Stegostoma tigrinum: one gene and its partner. The protein of the gene in region 2 purifies or fractionates together with the protein of the main gene of each other region. This does not show direct contact. Links are inferred from orthologs where the notes say so. Each region holds a gene or a part of one and is shown on either strand. Other genes may lie near its edges.

Region 1 (8,016 bases), on a different chromosome or scaffold from region 2:
TCCATACCACATCCAGACATGGAAACTTGCAAACAGTGACTTAATAATAAACAGGTCAAACATAAGTTATGATGGAGCAGATGGTAATAAAAAAGAAAATAAGACATTATATCAAATCCTGTCTTCCAGATACCCTTCTCATTCTATGATTTCTAACAAAGAAGACTTCACTATGCTGTAAATCAATGCTACAAGTTCACAACTTCTACTTAAACTCAAGTTGCAGCACAACAGGCTGTTCAGCCCATTGTGCTTACATAAGAGCTAATCAATTTCACTTGCTACTCTTCCGCAACAGTTCTGTTAATACTTTTTGTTTCAAACATTTATTTCGAATTTCTTTTGAATGTTACTACGTATCTATCTTTTCAGACATTGCAGATCACAACTAGCTGTGTAAAAATGCTCCCTCACTTTGCCTCTAGCTCATTTGTCATTCGTCTTAAATCTGTGCTGTCTGGTTACAGACCCTTTGCCATTCACAACAGTTTCTCATTGGTCACACTATCAAAGCAATTCATGATTTTGAACACATCTGTCAAATCTTAAACTCTCCCTGCCGTAAGAAGGAGATGTGATGTTATCAAATTGATAGAGATAAAAATGGGGAGAGAGGGGGAGGCGCCCCCTCCCCCTATTTATTTCAGAACCCCCTTCCCCTCCCCCATTTCTGAAGGAGGGCCTAGGCCCGAAACGTCAGCCTTCCTGCTCCTCTGATGCTGCTTGGCCTGCTGTGTTCCTCCAGCTCTACACCTTGTTATCTCAGATTCTCCAGCACCTGCAGTTCCTACTATCTTTAAAGCATTAGTTGCTGTTCTCTTAAAAGTGTTCATGATTGTATACACACACAAAAACTGAGTCTGCCCAACAGGTGACAGCAGAAATTGTTGTTTTACAACCACACGTATCAGATATTGGCTATGATACCGACAACTATACTTTTGGTGGCTGGGTGGAACAGCTGATTGTTAGTGCACGTTCCTATCAATACTCGCAATCAGTTTTGTCCTTAACTTTTGGTAAGCTGGTTTAACAACGTACAGTGGCATCATCTCAGTCTTAACCAGTGATAGGTCTCTCACCTTCATGTCAGGAGGTTGTGGGTTAAAACCTTTGCTCCACAGAACAGAACAGCAAAATCTACACCAATAATTAAAGACAGATTACATGGAAGGTGTCATTAAAAGGGGCTCAACCTGCCCCCTCAGGTGGACATACGAGATCTCATGGTATTTTTCAAAGTCCTCCTTCATTCTGAAAACCAACAGTTCTCCTTCAATCAAACTACTGGAAAACAGGCCATTTTTTATTGGTATCAACATAGGTGCAAAAAGTTCAATTTGGTCACTAATCACTGGATGATAGTTTCTAATTTAAGTAATGAACAGGAATCAATAATTCAACCTGGAAGGATGTCATCATATCCCAGCTACCCAAAAGACCAGAAATATATCAGTGTTAAAACTGAAACCATTTGAATTTAGTCATGTAAACAGAGGCTAAAAGTGGCAAGAGAAAAATGAATAAAGGCCACAATTTGGGCTCAAAAAAAAACCATGCTGAAAATTCAAAATAACTAATGATATATTATCAAATCAGATTTAAAACTGGTTTAGAAGCAGGAGACAGACCATAGTAGTTGAAGGTTGTTTTTGTGACTGGAAGGTTATGTCCAGCAGCATACCAAAGGGTTCAGTGCTGGGCCTCTTGCTGTGTGTGTTGTACATTAATTGTCAAGATATGAATCTAAAAGGTTTCATCAGTAAGTCCGTAGGTGACACTATTGATGTTGCGCTAAATAGTGAGGAAGACAACTGGATTACAGGATGTTATAAATAGGTTGGTCAGATGGGCAGAATAATGGTAAATGAAATTTAATCCTGAAAAGTGTGAAATTATGCATTTTGAAATACTGACAAGGGCAAAGCAGTAAATGTGAAAAGCTAGGACCCTATGAAGGGTCTACAGATTCAGAAAGGCATTAGGGCAGGCAAGAAGGTGTATGGGATGCTTGCGTGTATTAATCAAAACATTGAATACAAGGGGATTTGAATCCTCTTCAGAGGGTGCAGAGGAAATTCAAGAGTGTTGCTTGTGCTGGGGCATTTCTGGTAAGAAGAAAAAGTGGACAAGCTGGGATTGTTTTCCTTTGAGCAGAAAGGACTGAAGGAGTACAAAAAGGAAGGGCGTAAATAGGCTAGACAGGAAGAAACCTACCCTCTTAGTAGATGGATCAACTACATAGGGCATGCATTTGAAGTGAGCAGCATGAGGTTCAGAGGGCATCTAAAGACTTGGTAATGGATATCGGGAATTCATCACATCAAAGAGTGGTAGAAATGGGACCTTTTCAACATTTAAACAGCATTTGGATGATCACATGAATCGCTAATTACATACAAAGATACAGACTAAGCGCCGGAAAGTGGGTCTGGAGTAAATAGGGTGCTTGATGATAACAGTCTATGGCTCATGTGAGTGGAATATAAGCAGTTATCATCCAAAGGGGTAGGATGTTCATTTTGCACACACGCTTGCGAACCCCACTAGGTCAAATGCGTGTAAAGATGTTGCTACTTACCCTCTGCGTGTTTAAACCCCCCGAGAGAAGTGCGTGTGAACGAGAGTGAGTGCAGCCTACCGATGCTATCCCTGACTTTATGGCATTAAAATGCGAGCAGCGCCCAGACCCGGAAGGAGCCACATTCTGGCCACCTGCACAACGTTCCAAACCTCAGAGTACTCAGCAGCAACACCGTGTATCAAACTAAATAAATATCATATGCTGCACCGTTCATATCAATTCAAATACAGAAAAAAGAAAGCAAGTACCTTATGATCCAATTTCTCCAAATTCCGACTGTGAGCTTTTGTTTTTGCTATCTTTTATTTATTTGGATTGAATTGTTATTTTTTTCTTCCCCCATCTACTCGCTATAACATTAACAGCAAACATGACCAGTTTTTGCTCGCACCATTTTCACTTTGTTTATTGGAGCTCGGGTAATTGTGTCGCGGTTTGATGACGTACTGCGGCGGGAACATTCGAGATTTGGCTGAAAAATTTGAGCTCGAATATGCTACTTGCGTTTTTTTCCTCACCCCCCGCCCAAGGTACCGAATCGGAGATGGTAATTCTGAGGTGTGCTTTATTTGTTACTTATGTCTGATCGTTGCTGTCAGTTAAATCCTGTTCTGACTGAGTTTTAGAGCCATAGACATGTACAGCACGGAAACAGGCCCTTCGGCCCAACTGGTCCATGCTGACAGAGGATGAGCTAACTTTTAGGAAAGAGAAAGTGATTAAATAGGTCAGTTTCAGTTACGTTGTGGAGTGCCGCGGGGCTCAGGACTGAAACCTTATCTGTTTGCAACATACATCAGTGATTTGAATGAAAGGATCGAGTGTGTTGAAGCCAGATTTGCTGACAATTCAAAAATGAGCAAGCAAGTTTTGAGGAGGATGCATTGAGTCTGCAGAGAAATGTAGATAGATTAAGTAATTGGGCAACAAATTGGCTGATACAACGTGGAAAATAAGTGGTTTCCCAATTTGCTGGGAAAATAGAAAGCAGAGTATTTACGTGGAGAAAGACTGCAGAATGCTGCAATACAGAGAGATTGAGGTGTTGTCAGCAGTAAAAGTTCACCAGACTGATTCCAGGGATGGCGGGTCTAACATATGAGGAGAGATTGACTAGGTTGGGATTGTTTCGCTAGAGTCCAGATGGATGATGTGGAGATCTCAAAGAGACTAATAAAATTCTATCCAAATTGGGCAGGGTAGATCCAGGGCGGATGTTCCCGATAGTGGGTGTGTCCAGAACCGGCGGTCACAATATGTGGATTCGGGGTAGATGAGAAAGGATGGAGATGACGAGACATTTCTTCACCCAAAGAATTGTGAGCCTGTGGAATTCATTTCCACAGGAAGTAATTGAGGCCAAAGCATTGAATGTATTCAAGAGGCGACTAGATATAGCTCTTGGGGTGAATGAGACGAAAGGTTTTGGCGAGGAAGCAGGATCAGGCTGTTGAGTTGGATGATCAGCCATGATCGTGAAGAATGATGGAGCAGCTCGAAAGGCTAAATGGCCTCCTCTTGAGTCTATCTTCTATGTTTCTATAAAAGTTAGCATGCAGGTATAATACAGAAAGTAATTCAGAAGGTAAGTAAAAATTAGCCTTTACTGTAGTGGGTATGGGGTGTAAAAGAGGTTTTACCAAATTGAGCACTGCATTGGTGAGAATGCATCTACAGTACTGAGTACAGTTTTGATCTTATTTAAGGAATCATTGACTTGCTTTGGTGACAGTACAGGAAATCCATTTGATTGACACCTGGAATGAAGGTATTGTCTTTGAAGGAAAGGTTGAGCAGTCTGGGCGGATATCAGTTGGTAAAGACAGTGAGTGTTGAAGGTGGTGCATTTAGGTGCAAAACAAATGTGCTGCTTTGTCCTGGATGGTTTTGAGTTTCTTAACTGTTTTCCACCCATCCAGGCAGGTGAATGATATACCCTCACTCTCCTGAATTGTGCTTAGTAAATGATGGAGAGCTATTGAGGAGACAGGAGGTGAGATACTTGCCGCATAATTCCTAGGCTCTGACCTGCTGTTGTAGTCACAGTATTTCATACAGCTGGTCCAACTACCACCACATTACACCCAACTATCCTTCTGACTTGATCCATTCTCTACAGCCATCTATTCTCCTCCGTCCTACAATTACCTATCTTATCTATCTTTGCACCTGCCTTCCCAACTCCATTTACCCACATCATCCACTGACCCATCTAATTCACTCAACTAATTGCTCATCTACCCATTAGGGAGCATCCAAACTGGAATTCTAAATTCATCATATGGCATTTTATCATAAACGGGAGGATTGAGCTTTATTCACTGAACCTCGTTGTTGGTTTCTGTGTGGATCCCTGTGCTAGGCACATTCAGAATGATGCAGTGCAAGTCAAATGCCTTAGTCAGCCTTTTGTGAAATAACTGTTGAACAGATATGCACATAACATTCCTGTTTGTTTATTTATGGCAGATACAATTGCATCATGATGCAGATGACCTGGTAATTGGAAAAGACAAAACAAAATGTCTTGCCGTGAGTTTGTTGTAAGTAAAACAAATTTGCTTGTGTTAGAGATAGTGGGAACTGCAGATGCTGGAGAATCTGAGATAAAACAGTGTAGAGCTGGATGAACACAGCAGGCCAAGCAGCTTCAGAGGAACAGGAAGGCTGACGTTTTGGGCCTAGACCCTTCTTCAGAAACGGATCTAGGCCTGAAACATCAGCCTACTTGCTTATATTCATTGATGAATTGAAATTCATTTTAAAGTTTAAAGTTTTTGTTAAAATTACCTTTTACATTGCAGTGTACCAGGTGCAATATTTATTTGACAGACCAGATTCCACTGCTTATTTCCTTCTGTTTGCTCACTCTTGGATGCATTGTCTTCAATTGTTATGAAATTTACAGGAACCTCTGCTATGTAGCAGTTCGAAAAACAGATTTTTACTGCAAAGAGCATCCATCATTTGAAGAGTCAGCCTTTGTTTTTTTTAATTTCAGGTGCTGTATACAAATCAAAAAACAAGAAAAGCAAAGAAATGGCATGATGGCATTTTAAGAACCAGTTCCTATGGAAATAAGGTTTGTTCAGCAAATAGTGAAATATTATGTGGTCTATGCTGTGTAACACGTAAGTGCAAGGAATGTTTTGAAGACTAATAGATTGGAAGTTTATTTTACTGATGACTTGGATTTCATAGTACACATTAGCTTACATAACACAACATTGTGGGCTGAAGGGCCTGTTCTGTGCTGTACTGTTCTATGTTCTATGTTCTATAACAATGAAATGCTATTTAAAACATGACTGAATTGGTATTGTACTGTGGTTTTCTAGTTTCATCAGTGACTATTTACTGTTCATGTTTTCCCTGTTTTGCCCCTCCTGAAGTACCAATTCTCTGCTCAGTTACAATTTTACAGAGGGTGGGCCACCTTATGGTTGTCACTCAAGTAACCATCCCTGTGTGTTGAGAGATTTTTCAGCACAGGTAGATCACCTCTAAATCCACCGTTCACACCAGACTCTTCCAAGATACATTGCTGGATTGCGGTCTAAATGACCAGTTTGAGAATAGAACTGCCATTTCAGCTGTCATCAGTTAATTTACCACAGACGGTGACACAAATGAGTTGTTAGCTTTGGGATCCATGACATTATGGATTGAGTCAACAAGATGGTGTTGCTGATCAGCAATTCCTGACTTTGCATCATAGTTGTGTTCCTGAAAAGTGCAACTTTAAGGAAAGCAAGTGAATCAGATTTTCCCATTAGACTTGATGTATAAGCTAGAATCGGGTTTTTAACATATTTAGATGTTTGCAGAGATTTCACCATTGAATAAACTTACACTGGGAATAGAATCATTAAACAGGGGACTGGTGTACAGAATTCAGGCACAAAATGTTGGGACAGAATCTGATGGGACAAGGATCATTGAAAGAGAGTAGAAGCAACTGGGAGAGAAATAGGAAATGCAGGGAGAATGATGGAGAGAGGATGTGTATACAGGAATGGTATGAATAATTCAGTTGGATATATTGCCCAGAACAATTGATGAGAGAATTGTGAATTGAAATTATTGTTAACGTATTTTTTATTGTTAGACTCATGGCCTATGTCACTGTGGCGCAGAAGGTCATTCAAGAGCGGGGAGCAAAAAGACAGGTAGTTGTTATAGGGGATTCTATAATTAGGGGGACAGATAGTATCCTATGCAAGCCGGATCGGGAGTCCCTCATGGTGTGTTGCCTGCCCGGTGCCAGGGTGCAGGACATCTTGGACCGGCTTGAAAGGATATTGGAGCAGGAGGGGAAGGATCCAGTTGTTGTGGTCCACGTTGGGACTAACAACATAGGCAAAGCTAGGGTAGAGGACCTGGTCAGGGATTATGAAGCACTAGGAAGGAAATTAAAGTACAGGTCCTCAAGGGTCATAATCTCCAGATTACTGCCTGAGCCACGTGCCAATTGGCATACGGAAAAGAAAGTTAGGGAAGTAAACACGTGGCTAAGGGATTGGTGTGGGAAAGTGGGATTCCATTTCATGGGACATTGGCATCAGTTTTGGAACCGGGGGGACCTGGACCGTTGGGACGGTCTCCACGTGAACCGATCTGGAACCAGTGTTCTAGTGAAAAGGATAAATAGGGTGGTCAGTAGGACTTTAAACTTCTGAGTCGGGGGGGAAGGGAAAGTGAAAGTCACAGGGAATATGGAGTTACATGGAAAGATAAGCAACAGGATAGCATGTGTACAGAAGGATTTAAGCTCGAGGCAGACTAGGAATACAGCAAAAAGGAAGGATAGCTTAAGACATCTTGGGATTTCCAACCCCTCTAATAATGATAAGAAAGCCAGCATTAAGACACTTTATCTAAATGCTTGTAGTATTTGCAACAAAGTAGATGAATTAACGGCACAAATCCTCTTGAATGATTATGATGTGGTAGGCAACACTGAGACATGGTTGCAGGGACCTCAGGACTGGCAGTTAAACATCCAAGGATTCACAACTTATCGAAAAGACAGGGAGGTGGGCAGAGGGGGTGGGGTTGCCTTGTTAGTTGAGAATGGAATTAAATCTATGGCACTAAATGACACAGGGTCAGAAGATGTGGAGTCTGTGTGGGTGGAATTGAGGAACCACAAAGGCAAAAAAACTATAATGGGAGTTATGTACAGACCTCCAAACAGTGATCAGGACCAGGGGCGCAAGATGCACCGAGAAATAAATAGGGCATGTCAGAAAGGCAAGGACGCAGTGATCATGGGGGACTTCAATATGCAGGTGGATTGGGTGAATAATGTTGCTGGTGGATCCAAAGAAAGAGAATTCATGGAATGTTTGCAGGATGGCTTTTTGGAACAGCTTGTGATGGAGCCCACAAGGGAGCAGGCTATTCTGGACTTAGTGCTATGTAATGAGCCA
Region 2 (7,025 bases):
GATCCAACGCATCATCCTCCGACACTTCCACCATTTGCAGTCCAACCTCACCAAAAACATTTTTCCATTCCCACCCTTGTCTGTTTTCCAGAGGGACCACTCTCTCTGTGACTCCCCTGTCCGCTCCACACTCCCCTCCAACCCGGTACTTTCCCCTGCAACTGCAGGAAGTGCTACACTTGCCCCCACAACAGCTCCCGCACCCCCATCCCAGGACCCAAAATGACTTTCCACATCAAGCAGACGTTCACCTGCACATCTGCCAACATGGTATACTGTATCCGCTGTAGCTTCCTCTACATTGGGGAAACCAAGCGGAGGCTTAGGGACCGCTTGTAGAACACATGCTCGGTTCGCAATAAACAACTGCACGTCCCAGTCGCGAACCATTTCAACTCCCTTTCCCATTCCTCAGACAACATGTCCATCCTGGGCCTTCTGCAGTGCCACAACGATGCCACCCGAAGGATGTAGGAACAACAACTCATATTCCGCTTGGGAACCCTGCAGCCCAATGGTATCAAGGTAGATTTCACAAGCTTCAAAATCTCCCCTTGCCCCACCGCATCCCAAAACCAGCCCAGTTCGTCCCCTCCCCCCACTGCAATCCCAGAACCAGCCCAGCTCATCCCCGCCTCCCTAACCTGTTCTTCCTCTCGCCTATCCCCTCCTCCCACCTCAAGCCACACCTCCATTTCCTACCTACTAACCTCATCCCGCCCCCTTGACCTGTCCGTCCTCCCCAGACTACCTATCCCCTCCCTACCTCCCCACCTATACTCTCCTCTCCAATCTGCCTCTTCCTATTTACTTCAGAACCCTCTCCCCACTCCCCTTTTCTGATGAAGGGGGTAGGCCCGAAATGTCATTTTTGGTGGTCCTAAGATGCTGCTGGGCCTGCTGCGTTCACCCAGCTCCACACTTTCTTATGTCAGATTCTCCAGCATCTGCAGTTCCCATTATCTCTCCTTCAATAGTTTACCCAATTGGTAAAAACTCCCAGAGCACCCGGCAGGAAAATAACATTCATACCCTGCTGCATATAATTCAGGCAAAAGCAAAATGTTGTAGCAACACAAAGAAAACCAACATCACATCAGTCTACAAGATAACAAAGTGTGGAGCCGGATGAACAAGAGCAGGCCAAGAGGCATCCCAGGAGCACAAAAGCTGATGTTTCGGGCCGAGACCTTTCAGAGAGGGGGACGGGGAGAAGGTTCAGGAATAAATAGGGTGCAAGGGGGAGGCAGGGCGAAGATGGATGGAGAAGAAGATAGGTGGAGAGGAGAGTATAGGTGGGGAGGTAGGGAGGGGATAGGTCAGTCCGGGGAGGATGGACAGGTCAAGGGGGCGGGATGAGGTTAGTAAGTAGGAGGGGAAGGTGAAAGGAAAAACTGGTTAGGGAGGCGGGGACGAGCTGGGCTGGTTTTGGGATGCAGTGGGGCAGGGGGTGGAGGTGAACATCTGCTTGATATGAAAAGTTATCTTGGGGCCTGGGATGGGGTGAGTCAGTGCGGTAGATGTTCACCTGCACATCTGCAAGTGCGGTAGATGTTCACCTGCACGTCCGCCAGTGCTGTATACTGCATCCACTGTACCCGTTGTGGCTTCCTCTACATTGGGGAAACCAACCAGAGGCTTGGGGACCACTTTGCAGAACACCTCTGCTCGATTCACAATAAACAGCTGCACCTCCCAGTCGTAAACCATTTTAACTCCCCCACTCATTCCTTAGATGACATGTCCATCCTGGCCTCCTGCAGTGCCATAATGATGCCACCCAAAGGTTGTAGGAACAGCACCTCGTATTCTGCTTGGGAACCTTGCAGCCCAATGGTCTCAATGTGGACTTAACAAGCTTTAAAATCTCCCATCCCCCAACTGCATCCCAAAACCAGCGCAGCTCGTCCCCTCCCCCCCACTGCATCCCAAAACCAGCGCAGCTCTTCCCCACCTCCCTAACCTGTTCTTCCTCACACCTATCCGCTCCTCCCACCTCAAGCCACACCTCTATTTCCTATCTACTAACCTCATCGGCCAATCCCCTTCCTACCTATCTTCTCCTCTATCCATCTTCGGTCCGCCTCCCCCTCTCTCCCTATTTATTCCAGTTCCCTCTCCCCATCCCCCTCTCTGATGAAGGGTCTAGGCCCGAAACGTCAGCTTTTGGGCTCCTAAGACGCTGCTTGGCCTGCTGTGTTCATCCAGCTTCACACTTTGTTATCTCCTATTTAGGACGGAGGCGTTTATCTTGTAGTTGCCACAGTATTATCAGACCGCGGGGAGAGTTTGAGCATCAGTGTTCATGGTAACCTCTGAGATTTGAACTCATAGTATTGGAGTTACTTGGGCATTGCAAACCAGCCGCCCAGCCAGAGTTGAACGGGATTCCCCTTCCAATATCACAGTACGTTCCGATAGAAACAGCAGAGATAGAAAATGTCCCGCAGTGAAGTGTCGCAGCACCCGGAGCGCGTACAATAGTGGTGGACGCGCGCACGCAGGGGGAATAGGAGCGCGTGCACATCAACAGCGCGCACCGTGGGGGAGGGGCGGCAATGCCTCTGCAGCTCGTGACGCACCTCCAGCCTCAACAAAGACAAAGAGAAATCAAGAAAAGCCCGTTTCCTCGCCCACCACCCAATTCCCAGAGAAAAGGAAAAAGAGAGAGGCGGGTTTCTCCCCTTTTTGAATAGGGAGGAGTACGATTGGAGCCACAGGGTCCGGGGCCTCCACCGTGGCGAGGGACCTGATGGGCGTTCGCCGCACAGACGCCATTTTCTTCGCTGGTGTCCGACTGTCTGACTCACCCGTTCTTTATGTCCACCTCCAAGATTTTACCGTAGCCCTTGAAGAACCGCTCCACATCCCGCTCCCGGGCCTGGTAACTGAGCCTACCGATGTAAACCCGAGGCATCTTTCTTTCTCGCTGCTTGTCTGTCTCACTCGCGCGCTTTCACGAAATCACCGTTGCTCCGGTTCCCGGCCGACATGCGTCACCACACCGCCTGACGTAAACACGGCGGGGTTCGTCACACGTTATCTGCGTAAACGGTGGGAGTGTGTATCGCTTAATTCCATTCCCTATTCCCAATTCTTCCGACGATGAGGCATTCAGCTCCCGCACATCCCAGATGTCCAAGTTCTTCAAGGACCACAACTTCCCCCCCACAGTGATCGAGGACGCCCTTGACCGCGTCTACGCATTTCCCGCAACACATCCCTCACACCCCACAACCGCCCAAAGAGGATCCCCCTCGTTCTCAGACACCACCCCACCGACCTCCGGATACAATGCATCATCCTCCGACACTTCCGCCATCTACAATCCGACCCCACCACCCAAGACATTTTTCCATCCCCACCCTTGTCTGCTTTCCGGAGAGACCACTCTCTCCGTGACTCCCTTGTTCGCTCCACACTGCCCTCCAACCACACCACACCCGGCACCTTCCCCTGCAACCGCAGGAAATGCTACACTTGCCCCCACACCTCCTCCCTCACCCCTATCCCAGGCCCCAAGATGACTTTCCATATTAAGCAGAGGTTCACCTGCACATCTGCCAATGTGGTATACTGTATGCATTGTACCCGGTGTGGCTTCCTCTCCATTGGGGAAACCAAGCGGAGGCTTGGGGACCACTTTGCAGAACACCTCCACTCAGTTTGCAATAGACAACTGCACCTCCCAGTCGCGAACCATTTCAACTCCCCCTCCCATTCTTTCGATGACATGTCCATCATGGGCCTCCTGCAGTGCCACAATGATGCCACCCGCATGTTGCAGGACAGCAACTCATATTCCGCTTGGGAACCCTGCAGCCCAATGGTATCAATGTGGACTACACCAGCTTCAAAATCTTCCCTTGCCCCACTGCATCACACAACCAGCCCAGCTCATCCCCTTCCCCCACTGCATCCCAAAACCAGCCCAGTTCTTCCCCTCTCCCCACTGCATCCCAAAACCAGCCCAGCTCATCCCCGCCTCCCTAACCTGTTCTTCTTCTCACCTATCCCTTCCTCCCAGCCCAAGCCGCACCTCCATCTCCTACCTACTAACCTCATCCCACCTCCTTGACCTGTCCGTCTTCCCTGGACTGACCTATCCCCTCCCTACCTCCTCACCTATACTCTCCTCTCCACCTATCTTCTTTTCTCCCCATCTTCGGTCCGCCTCCCCCTCTCTCCCTATTTATTCCAGAACCCTCACCCCATCCCCCTCTTTGATGAAGGGTCTAGGCCCAAAACGTCAGCATTTGTGCTCCTGCGATACTGCTTGGCCTGCTGTGTTCATCCAGCTTCACACTTTATTATCTCTTATTTTCATCTTCTGGGCGTCCCAGATAACGTTTATTGGCGTGGGCAGAGTTCCTTTGGTCGTGGGACATCCCAAAGTGCTTGATAACTTACGGCATACTTTTCAAAGTGCAAACGTTCACCATGCCCCACATCTAGGGTCGTGGTAGAGAGGACATTCGGGCTTGGCAATGTTCTGTTGCTTGCTGTTAAGTTCGATCTGTACCCAGAAGGTGTAAAGAAGGGGGTAATAGGAACTGCTGGAGAATCCGAGATAGCAAGGTGCGGAGAGAGAGATAATGGGAACTGCAGATGCTGGAGAACCCAAGATAACAAAGTGTGGAGCTGGATGAACACAGCAGGCTAAGCAGCATCTCAGGAGCACAAAAGCTGACGTTTCAGTCCTAGACCCTTCATCAGAAAAGGGTGAGGGGGAGAGGGTTCTGAAATAAATAGGGAGAGAGGGGGAAGCGGATCTTTAGAGGAGAAGATAGGTGGAGAGGAGACAGACAGGTCAAAGAGGCCGGGATGGAGCCAGTAAACGTGAGTGTAGGTGGGGAGGTAGGGAGGAGATTTGTCAGCCCAGGGAGGACGGACAGGTCAAGGGGTGGATGAGGTAAGTAGGTAGGAAATGGGAGTGCAGTTTGAGGTGGGAGGACAGGATAGGTGAGAGGAGGAACAGGTTAGGGAGGCGGGGATGAGCTGGGCTAGTTTTGAGATGCGGTAGTGGAGGGGATATTTTGTAGCTTGTGAAATCCACATTGATACCATTGGGCTGCAGGGTTCCCAAGTGGAATATGAGTTACAGTTCCTGCAAAATTCGGGTGGCATCGTTGTGGCCCTGCAGGAGGCCCAGGATGGACATGACGTCTAAGGAATGGGAGGGGGAGTTGAAATGGTTCGCGACTGGGAGGTGCAGTTGTTTATTGCGAACTGAGCGTAGGTGTTCTGCAAAGCGGTCCCCAAGCCTCCGCTTGGTAGCCCCGATGTAGAGGAGGCCACAATGGGTACAGCAGATACAGTATACCACATTGGAAGATGTGCAGGTGAACATCTGCTTGATGTGGAAAGTCTTGTTGGGTCCTGGAATAGGGGTGGGGGAGGAGGTGTGGGGGCAAGTGTAGCACTTCCTGTGGTTGCAGAGAAAAGTGCTGGGTGTGGTGTGGTTGGAGAGGAGTGTGGAGCAGACAAGGGAGTCACAGAGAGAGTCGTCCCTCTGGAAAGCAGACAAGGCTGGGGAGGGAAATTGTCTTTGGGTGGGGTTGGATCGCAGATGGTGCATGTGTCAGAGGATGATGCGTTGGATCCGGAGGTTGGTGGGGTAATACATGAGGATGAGGGGGATTCTTCTTTACTTGTTATTGTGGGGACGGGGTGTGAGCGATGAGTTGCGGGAATTGTGGGAGGCACAGTTGAGGGCGTTCTGGACCACTGCAGAGGGGAAGTTTCCGTCCTTGAAAAATGAGGACATCTGAGATGTATCGGATTGGAATGCCTCATCCTGGGAGCACTTGTGGCAGAGGCAAAGGAATAGGGATTAGAGGATAGCATTTTTGCAGGAAGTTGGGTGGGAGGAGGTGTATTCTAGGTCGCTGTGTGATTCGGTGGGCTTGAAATGGATATCGGTTTCTAAGTCGTTGCCTGAGATGGAGACACAGGTCCATGAAGGTGAGGAAGGTGTTAGAGACAGTCAAGGTGAACTTGAGATTGGGGTGGAACGTGTGGCGAAGTGGATGAACTGTTCAAGCTCCTCGTGGGAGCATGAGCTGGCGCCAATATAGTCATCGATGTAAGGGAGGAAGAGGTGGAGTTTAGGGCTAGTGTAGGTACGGAAGAGCGATTGTTCCATGTAACCTACAAAGAGGCAGGCATAGCTTGGGCCCATGTGGGTACCCATGGCCACCCCCTTTGTCTGAGGGAAGTGGGAGGAATCAAAAGAGAAGTTGTTGAGGGTGAGGACGAGTTCGGCTCGGTGGTTGAGGTTGTCAGTAGAGGGGGACTGGTCGGGCCTGCGGGACAGGAAGAAGCGGAGGGCCTTTAGGCCATCTGCATGCGGAATACAGGTGTATAGGGACTGGATGTCCATGGTGAAAATGAGTTGTTGGGGACCGGGGAATTGGAAGTCCCGGAGTAGGTGGAGGACGTGGGTGGTGTCACGGACGTAGGTAGGGAGTTCCTGGACCAAGGGGGAGAAAATAGAGTCCAGATAGGTGGAGATGAGTTCGGTGGGGTAGGAGCAGGCGGAGACAATAGGTCGACCAGGGCAGGCAGGTTTGTGGATTTTGGGAAGGAGATAAAAGCGGGCGGTGCGGGGTTGGAGGCTGTGGGTGGGAGGTCACCTGAAGTGATGAGGTTGTGGATGGTTTGGGACATGATGGTTTGGTGTTCGGGGATGGGGTCATGATCCAGGAGGTAGTAGGAGGTGGTGTCGGAGAGTTGGTGCCTGACCTCAGCCACGTAGAGGTCACTGCCATACTCCAACTGCACCTCCCTTGTCCACGGGTTTTATGGTGAGGTTGGGATTGGAGTGGAGGGCTGCACGTTCTGCATGGGGGAGGTTGGAGTGGGTGAGGACGGTGGACAGGTTGAGGCGACTGATGTCTCGACAGTTGGAGGTGAAGAGTTCGAGGGAGGGTAGGAGGCCTTGGGGTGGTGTCCAAGAGGAGGGCTTGTGTTGGAGGCAGGAGAAGTGGTCAGTAGAGGGAAGGTTAGGCTCGCAGTTAAAGAAG

What was found. Proteins that work in one complex are often made in the same cells at the same time.
Region 1: the proteins of serine/arginine-rich splicing factor 4-like (region 2) and larp7 purify together in Homo sapiens (affinity purification with mass spectrometry; 3 studies listed by BioGRID and IntAct, with this or other methods). This does not show direct contact. The link is inferred for Stegostoma tigrinum from reciprocal best matches to the Homo sapiens genes SRSF4 and LARP7.

The regions. Positions count from the first base shown.
Region 1 is NC_081354.1:63,786,557-63,794,572, reverse strand, and holds the start of larp7 (la-related protein 7), read right to left. Parts: upstream 3,009-8,016; 5' UTR 2,833-3,008; intron 1-2,832. Other genes in the region: protein ZGRF1-like, read left to right, coding at 5,107-5,127, 5,586-5,666. UniProt on the Homo sapiens protein: RNA-binding protein that specifically binds distinct small nuclear RNA (snRNAs) and regulates their processing and function.
Region 2 is NC_081377.1:38,215,873-38,222,897, reverse strand, and holds the start of serine/arginine-rich splicing factor 4-like, read right to left. Parts: upstream 3,022-7,025; 5' UTR 2,918-3,021; coding exon 2,811-2,917; exon of another isoform or gene 2,525-2,810; intron 1-2,524. UniProt on the Homo sapiens protein: Plays a role in alternative splice site selection during pre-mRNA splicing. Represses the splicing of MAPT/Tau exon 10.